2 linked regions of the Ovis aries genome follow. The protein of the gene in region 1 interacts with the protein of each later gene in a biochemical or structural test. Links are inferred from orthologs where the notes say so. Each region holds a gene or a part of one and is shown on either strand. Other genes may lie near its edges.

The links.
Region 2: the proteins of CSNK2B (region 1) and TNFAIP1 form a complex in vitro, tested with the Homo sapiens proteins (2 studies listed by BioGRID, with this or other methods). The link is inferred for Ovis aries from reciprocal best matches to the Homo sapiens genes CSNK2B and TNFAIP1.

The regions. Positions count from the first base shown.
Region 1 is NC_056073.1:26,713,028-26,716,891, forward strand, and holds the start of CSNK2B (casein kinase II subunit beta), read right to left. Parts: upstream 3,015-3,864; 5' UTR 2,890-3,014; intron 2,290-2,889; 5' UTR 2,279-2,289; coding exon 2,207-2,278; exon of another isoform or gene 1,490-2,206; coding exon 1,387-1,489; exon of another isoform or gene 879-1,386; coding exon 763-878; exon of another isoform or gene 316-762; coding exon 240-315; exon of another isoform or gene 104-239; coding exon 1-103. UniProt on the Homo sapiens protein: Regulatory subunit of casein kinase II/CK2.
Region 2 is NC_056064.1:19,764,715-19,768,623, forward strand, and holds the start of TNFAIP1 (BTB/POZ domain-containing adapter for CUL3-mediated RhoA degradation protein 2), read left to right. Parts: upstream 1-1,293; 5' UTR 1,294-1,416; exon of another isoform or gene 1,417-3,680; intron 3,681-3,909. UniProt on the Homo sapiens protein: Substrate-specific adapter of a BCR (BTB-CUL3-RBX1) E3 ubiquitin-protein ligase complex involved in regulation of cytoskeleton structure.

The sequences.
Region 1 (3,864 bases):
GCGCCATCCGTGTGGTGGTGCCTCGATGACTTGGGTGTGTACACGTCCATGCACTTGGGGCAGTAGAGCTTCACCATGGCCTCACCTGGGATGTCTGAAAGGCCTGGGAGACAGCCAGACTCAGCAGGCCAGGTTACCCAAGCCTGCCCAACCTCCCTCCTGGACTCAGGCCCCAACCTGCTGAGCCCCAACTCCATCCCAGCCTGCCATGGCCCTCCTTTCCCTTTCCCAACACTCACCGATGGGAAGCATTGGCTGGTTCTCACAGTACACACGGGGACAGTATCCAAAGTCTCCCTGCTGGTACTTTTCCAACTGATGTGAATGAAATTGAAGGAGTTGGTGGGTAGGTATGAAGAAAAGAGGCAACCCCCTCCTCAGCCCAATCCACATCACTGTGTCCCCAACTCCTTCTGCCTCTTAATGTCCAGAGGCCCCTTCTCTGGCTCAGATGGGCCTTCAGACTCCCCTGCTTCCTTTCATCCAGTCAGGCAGTCTGAAGATCATCAGACATTCACTGCTTATTCCCTGAGGAAGAGGCAGTCTACAACTTTCTGCTCTAGGTCACATCTCCCTCCCCCAAAACACTCCCTTCACCTCAACCCTCAATCAGGTCTTAACCCCTAGGCCCAGATTCTGGGGTTCTTTCCCCTCTTCTCAGCTAGATTCCGTGACAAGGCTGAAACGAGTGACTTCTTGCTGATGGAAACTCTGCTTCCCTGTTGCCTCTGAAGGAACCGAGTAGGAGTAGAGAGGCCTCACCATCTGGGCGATGCCACGGTTGGTGAGGATATAGCGGGCGTGGATCAATCCATAGAGCATTTCGGCTGCTTGCTCAATCAGGTCACTCTGGTTGGGGTTGTCTTCCAGCTCCTCATCTGAAACATGGCACCAGCCAAATGCAACCACTTGTCTTACAACTTTTTAAGGTGCCCTGCCTACTCCCAGGGGCTGCTGGCTCTTCAGCCCAGCACCCAACTTGGAGCCTCACCCCACCCACAGCCTGGGCCTCTGCCCCTTCCACCAACCCAAGGGTTTCTTTCCATCCCTCTCAGCCTCTGCTTCCTTCTCTTTTTTAATAAATAAATGCAAAGATGTCAACACAGAAGATAGAACTCTAACCTGGAAGGGGCAAGGAAGAAGATAACACCCATGGAGAAACTAGCATTTTCGATAAGTGCTAAGTTATAGGATCAGAGTATGAGAACAAGTGTAGAAGTCACAAAATTAGGCAAGAGTGAGGTATGGAATCAAAATGAAGTAAAGGATTTGGGGTTAAAAGGGTTAGAGAACCAAAAGGAAATTTAGAAATTCATGAAGCAGATAAACAAGGTGTGAATAGGAAAAAAACAGCACACACACAAAACAACCCTGAGGGTGTCTCACCAGGCTCCAGGTCCAAGATCATGTCTAAAGCTTGTCGATAGTGAGGCACCTGTTCATTGAGTCCAGTGAGATTGAATTTGTCCTGGATATAGTCTTCATCCACCTGTCAGGACGTGAAGTCAAAAGGAAACCCAAAGCAGAATCCTCAGCTTTGACCTGGGCAGGGTGCTCTAACTCGTGCCTTATCTTCAACACAACTGCTTCATTCCCTTTGTTCCACACTCCCAACTCAGCAGAAGTACTTGAACCTCTCTCCCTAGTTCGTGTATACTGCCCACCCAGAAGAGGTCTGGCTTTTTTCTCCTAAACATAAGCAATCCCCTCCTTACAGAGGCAGTCCTTTCAAGATCCCTGTCCTGATTCCTGTTCCTAGCTCTAGGAATCAGTTTTGGCCTCTCCTGAGGGGCAGCTGGCTCTCTGAGGAAGGTGGGGGCTGAACAGCTTGGATTCTGAAGTCAGTTACACTCCCTTATGTTAACACACAGCCATGCTATAAAACATTTTAACGTGAAGTGTTTTAATTCTCCTAATAGCTACCAGAAATACATACTATCAGTACTTCCCTGGTAAAAAAAAAAAAAAAAAAAAAAAACAACACAGGTTGACAAGTCCAACATTAGGCTGTTGGAGGGTGGCAGGGTTGACTTGGGGTCTCAGTCTTGACCCTTCACCACAAGTTAGAGAGCGCTACTAAGGAGACTCCTCCTTGACAAGAGTTTTTACTAAAGTATGTAAGAGAAGTGTGTGGAAGCTTTATGTGCAGGAGATTATGTGGCCAGATTACATGTGGAGGTGGATGGTAGGGTTGAGGAGAACTCACCTCACAGAAGAATTCATTGCCACGGAGCCCACAGAACCAAGAAATCCAGGACACCTCCTCTGAGCTGCTCATCTTCACGTCGGCTAGAGACAGAAGAGTATAAGCCTAAGCTCTCCCTCCCAACCTCTGGTATCCTCACTCCTCCCACACTTTGCCCTCAAACCATGGAAGAATTTGGGGCTACCCTTTTCTTAAAGAACCCGAGACTGGAGCACGTCTCTCTAGCTCCTCTTATTTACATTCCAGCCCCTTTTCACTGAGATTACATAGAGAAATTCTTCGGGGTCCACCAGCTGTGAGAAACCGACAGGTCTTGACCCCACTAGTCCTACCTCCATCCCTGACGCTCCTGAAAGCCAGGCCCCTCTCTCCTCCGTGTCAACTCCGGTAGGGCCGTGGCTCAAGCTCCCTACCCCCGCAAGTCTCTGGCCCCATTCTCAAGGGTTCCGAAGTTTATCCTTTCCAAGCAAGAGCTGGGCCCTCCTTTTCTCATGGCCTATAGGTGGTGGTCAGGTCCGTTTCATAGAAGTCCCGACATCCCGCCTCCACCCTTCGGGCCACCTCTCCTACCCTCGGTGCCGGACCGGGTCATTTCCTTTCCCACCCCCACATCAAGACGCGGAGACCCCATGTGCCGCGCCCAGGGACAGGGGACATGGCGCGGCGACGACCACCACACTCACCGACTGGACGGGGACTGGGACCGGGGGACGGGGAGGGGAAGGGGAGTTTCTGCTTCCAAAGACCGCGACGACGGCTACAACGCAGGCCGCGGACCCGACCGCGGCAGGCGAAGTGGGGTGGGGGGAGTGGAAACTGGGGAGGGTGGGGAAGAGGGCAACGCGCAAGTGCTTAGAGTTAGGAGCCGCGGTGCATGCCGGGAAATGGAGTCCTTGGGAAGAAGAAACTGACGAAACTAGGGAAAAGCGAACTACAAATCCCAGGATGACCCGCGCACGACCCTGGTGTCACGAGGCCCCGGGGGAGGGGTACGCTGGGGGCGGGGCGCAGCAGGGCACTGCGAGCCGCCACCGGAAGCGGAAACTCAGTACCGCGTTCTGGGCCAGGTAGCCTGGGAAATATAGTCGTGTGATTCCGGGGACTGCAGGGCCATGGAGGGGAGGGGGTGGGCCGGGAGAGGAACTAGGCTGGCTGGTTGCTTCTTGCTTCTCCCATCAAACAGCGAGCCTCAGGCCTCGGCGAGACTTTGCTGCCCGGGGCATTGACCTCATCCCCAGCCAGCCAGCCCTCCTGGCCCTTATTGCCTTGCTCCTTGGAGTCAGCCCGCCAAGGAGACCCGCGACGGGGCCCTTGTTTCATCCGGGGTTCGCGCAGCGGAGGCGGGAGGTGAGGCCGGGTTCCATGCTGAGGGTCCTGGGTAGGGTGTACTGGGATGAGCTGAGCGGTGTGAGAACCAGGACGGCCCCGTGGGCTAACCTGAGGTGGTGCCAGCCATTCTGCTGCTTGTCCCCTTGCACTTCTCCATTTCCTCTTAGGGCTTGAACGGGGCTGCTGTGGGCGCTAAATGCGACCTTCGAACCCTGGTCAGAGTAATGGTGAGGGGCTGCGTGACGTTATTTCATTTCAGGGTTTCTGGGCATTCTCCGCCTCAGAGCCTTTTTTAACCCTGAGAGTGATTTCCCAGGTCCAGAAAATGA
Region 2 (3,909 bases), on another chromosome or scaffold:
ACGAGCCTGGATTTTCTCATAAGCGTTTAACGGACAGCCTGTGGATTCTCAGCAGAGTGGCATAGTCTATCTGACTACCTGCCCTTTAGAGAGATCACCAAGACCCAGGATAGAGAATGGGTTGGAGGAAGAAAGAGGAGGGAGCTACAACTATCTTGCTCATTGCTGTTACCCTAGCATCTAACATGATACCTACACAGAAACTGGCACTCAGCAAATGTATGTGGTATGAATGACTGTGAAAACAGAGCAGGCTATTTCAGTAACCAAGGCTTGGAGCTGAAGAAGTGTTCCGATTTGAGATGTTTTGTAAGTCCAGTTGATAGGACTTAGCAAAGGATGACTGAGGCAGGGGTTTGGGGAGGAGTGAAAAAGAGTCAGGCAAGATTCCCGCGTACCTGGCCTGAGCCAGCTGCACGGCTGGAAGGGATAGTTGAATGAGAAGGGTCAGACCGGAGAAGAAGCGGAGAGGGTTCAAAGCCGACTACCGGATTCTCTCCCAACTCCCACCACACGCGCATCTGAGGAACACCGGACACAAGAGCCGGACTGAGCTCCAGTAAGAGAGGGTGACGCGTTCTCCTCCAAACCCACCCCGGGGGTCTCCCCGGAACCACGCTGGGCGCTCCGAACAGGCTCCACCCGTGGGGTGTGGGGAAAATTAGGAAGACCTGGGTGTGGAGCTCGCGTCTTCACTACGTAAACTCCTTGAACTTAATCTGAGCCGCGGTTTCCTCCTAAGATAGTTGGGAGCAGCAGCGCGTAAAGCTCCAGGCCCTAGCCGGGGGTAAAACCGCTCCCAGAGCCTGGCGGAATTACCACGTTTCTTTCGCCCCGCGATTGCTTTTCCTCGGGGCACGGGCCTGTTAGGCTAATCTCACCCCGGGCTTGCCCCAAGCCCGCCAACCCGGGGTCACGGCCTACCTGTTCACCCAGCAGCGACAGCGCTGGCGACCCAGGCTAACGTCGGAAGTCAGCGCCTCTCTCCAGTCGGCTGCCGCCGACACCCTGCCCAGCAGCCTCAGCTGCTGCCACGGCGACAGAACCTGTTTACGTCAACGTCACTTCCCGACCCCGAAGCACTTAGACCCATCAAGCCCGCAGGGCCTGCTGGGAAACAGAGGCCTGAGAGGAAGGATAACTGCCTACGAGACCCAGAGCCTTTGCGCCGGAAAGGCTGCCGGAAGTAGCTATGCTCTCAGCGCAAAATACTCTCAGGGGCCCCTCCCTCCGCCCTGATTGGATGCTGGGCCTGCCCTGCCTTCTCGTCTCAGGCTCCCGCCGGCTTGGGGCGGAGTCCTTGGGTGGAGGATGCGAGTTTCGGCCCGGGATTGCTGGAGCTCGAGCGGCCACAGTTCGGGGGCGGCACGGTGTCGACTTGCAATCCAGCTGAGAGGAGAGGCGCCACCGGGGAGGGTGAGAGCCTAGCCGGCCCATGTCCTAGGGGAAGGGATGGTTGGGTCCTGGGCTGAGCAAAGAGAGCCCCACGCGGTCTTGGGGAAAAGGCGTGGGACGGCGAAAGAGGGGTGGGGGTGGAGAGCTCAAATCCTCCCCTGGGGATGGGTGTCAGAACCGGTCTCTGTTTCTCAATAGTGAGGAGGGGTATGAATTGGGAAAGACTCTACACTGGCATGGAGAGGTTGGGTCTGGATAAATTTGCCCACACCTTTTGGATGTAGCAATAGAATTACACTTTGGATTTTCTGCTAGATCCGCCCTCTCTGACCAAGATCGGCTCCTCCCCTCGCCATCCCTGGTGTGACGAATTTCTGGGACCTTCTTTCCTTAGGACCCCACCGTCTAACACCGCCGTGATTGTTTGCCCTTTATTCCGCTTAGGTTCCCATTCGCTTTGCCTAGTGTGACACAGATAGGCCCCTAGCATCCCCAAATACCCACACACAAAGTCCGGAAGGAAGAGCTCTGAGGCTTTCAGTGGAAACTTCATTTTCACTGGAATTACCTTCTGGGGCGTCACCTGCCACAGGATTCCTGGAACCTATTGGCCTGGGCGGAATCTGAGCAACTGGAATCTCAGCTGACGTCATCCAGGGGCTCAAAGCAATTGCTTTGTTGGAAAAGAATAGATTAGTTTGGATTTGTCTTCCTTTGTTGGCAGCCGCCTAACCTTTGGTGAGCTCCTTTTCTTTGATCGTGGGGAAATTGGGGCTAGACACAAAATGCATAGAGAACTTGTTAAAACCTGTTAAGGGGTGGATTTATTCCTTCCGGGTGGGCAGTTTGGTAAAGTTATCTCATACCATTCAAGCTTAACTTACTGATTGGGCAGTCTGCTGGGGCGGGGCGCTCATCTCATCCATACTGGACAAACCACCAAAGGAGTTCAGTACTTCATACAGCACCTGTCCTGGCCTTTCCTTGGACATTCTTCCCAGGATGAACGGTCAGTCACTCAGTCATGTCCAACTTTGCAACCGCAGGGGCTGTAGCCCCCCAGACTCCTCTGTCCATGGGATTTCCCGGGGCAAGAACACTGGAGCAGGTTGCCATTTCCTTCTCCAGGGGATGATCCTGATCCAGGGATCGAACCTGCATTTCCTGTGTTTGCAGAAGGAAATGGCAACCCACTCCAGTACTCTTGCCTTGAAAATCCCATGGACAGAGGAGGTTGGTGCAGGCTACAACCTGGGGTCACAAAGAGTCAGGCACGACCGAGCGACTTCACTTTCACTTCACTCTTTACCACTGGCGCCACCGGGGACCTACTTAAATCTTTTCGGGGACAGGTTCAGTCTAACAGATTGACGAATACTTACAAATGTGCATGGCATTGTCTTAAGCACTGTTTGGAGAGTGGAGTAGTAAATGTGGGAAAACCAGTGCACTTCTGGGTTACACTTAGAGGAGATAATGATGTAAACTTCAGCATGCTATGATGATGAAGTGAGGTCACTTCACTTTTTTTCTGACTCCCATTACCAGCACTGTAGTCCAAGCCTTCGTCGTCTCTTGCCTAGACTTCTGGTCTTCACACTTGCTCTCTTGCATTCATAGAGTCCATTCTCTACACAGTAGCCAGGGTGATCTTAGATCATATCGCTTCCCTGCTCTAAACCCTACAGTCGATCTTCACTGCAATTAATATAAAATCCAAACTCTTCAATATGATCTGCCGCTGCCTTCCCTGACTTCACATCCAGCCATCTTCCCCCTTCTTTCTTTGCACCAGCCACCTTGGCCTTATTTCTGCTTCTAAAACTTGCGTCTGACCAAGGAACTTTGCACCTACTCTTCCATCTGTCTGGAATGCTCTTAAGAGCTTAGCTGGAATGTCACCTTCCCAAAGAGCCTTACCCTGGCTCCCCATCTAAATGAGTCCCTCTTCCTAGTCACTCGCCTTATTAAGTACGTTTTTCACTTCTGAAATTGCCTCATTTTTTCATTTTCTTGTTGTATATGTCTTCCCACTATGAGGTTAGCTTCACGGGACTGACTCTTTTGTTCTCATCTGTATCCCCAGCACCTGGCACAAAGCAGGGACACGATAAATACTCTTATTATTTTTATTCTTGTTAATGAACAAGAATATTCACTTTTTTTGAATTCCTGAAGTCAAGGACAGTATCATTTCATCTCTTCTTCCTGCTTAACTTGGTAGGCACTCAATATTTTATTGACAAAGGAGTTAAATGAAGTGATGATATATATGCGAATAGTACCTGGAACAGAGTAAACATGCAGAGAATGTTGGCTTTCTGTTTTCTCGCAGTGAATGAATTCTAGCAGTTCTTTAGATAGCCAAAACATGTAGAATCTAGATCACAAGGGGTGGTCTATGTCTTCATCTGCTTTCCTTGCTTCTCCGTCCTGTAAACTCCTGTCAGTGTTTCAGTTTCCAAATTACCTAACTGTTCTTAGACTGATCATCTGGTTCTTTTTCCCCATTCT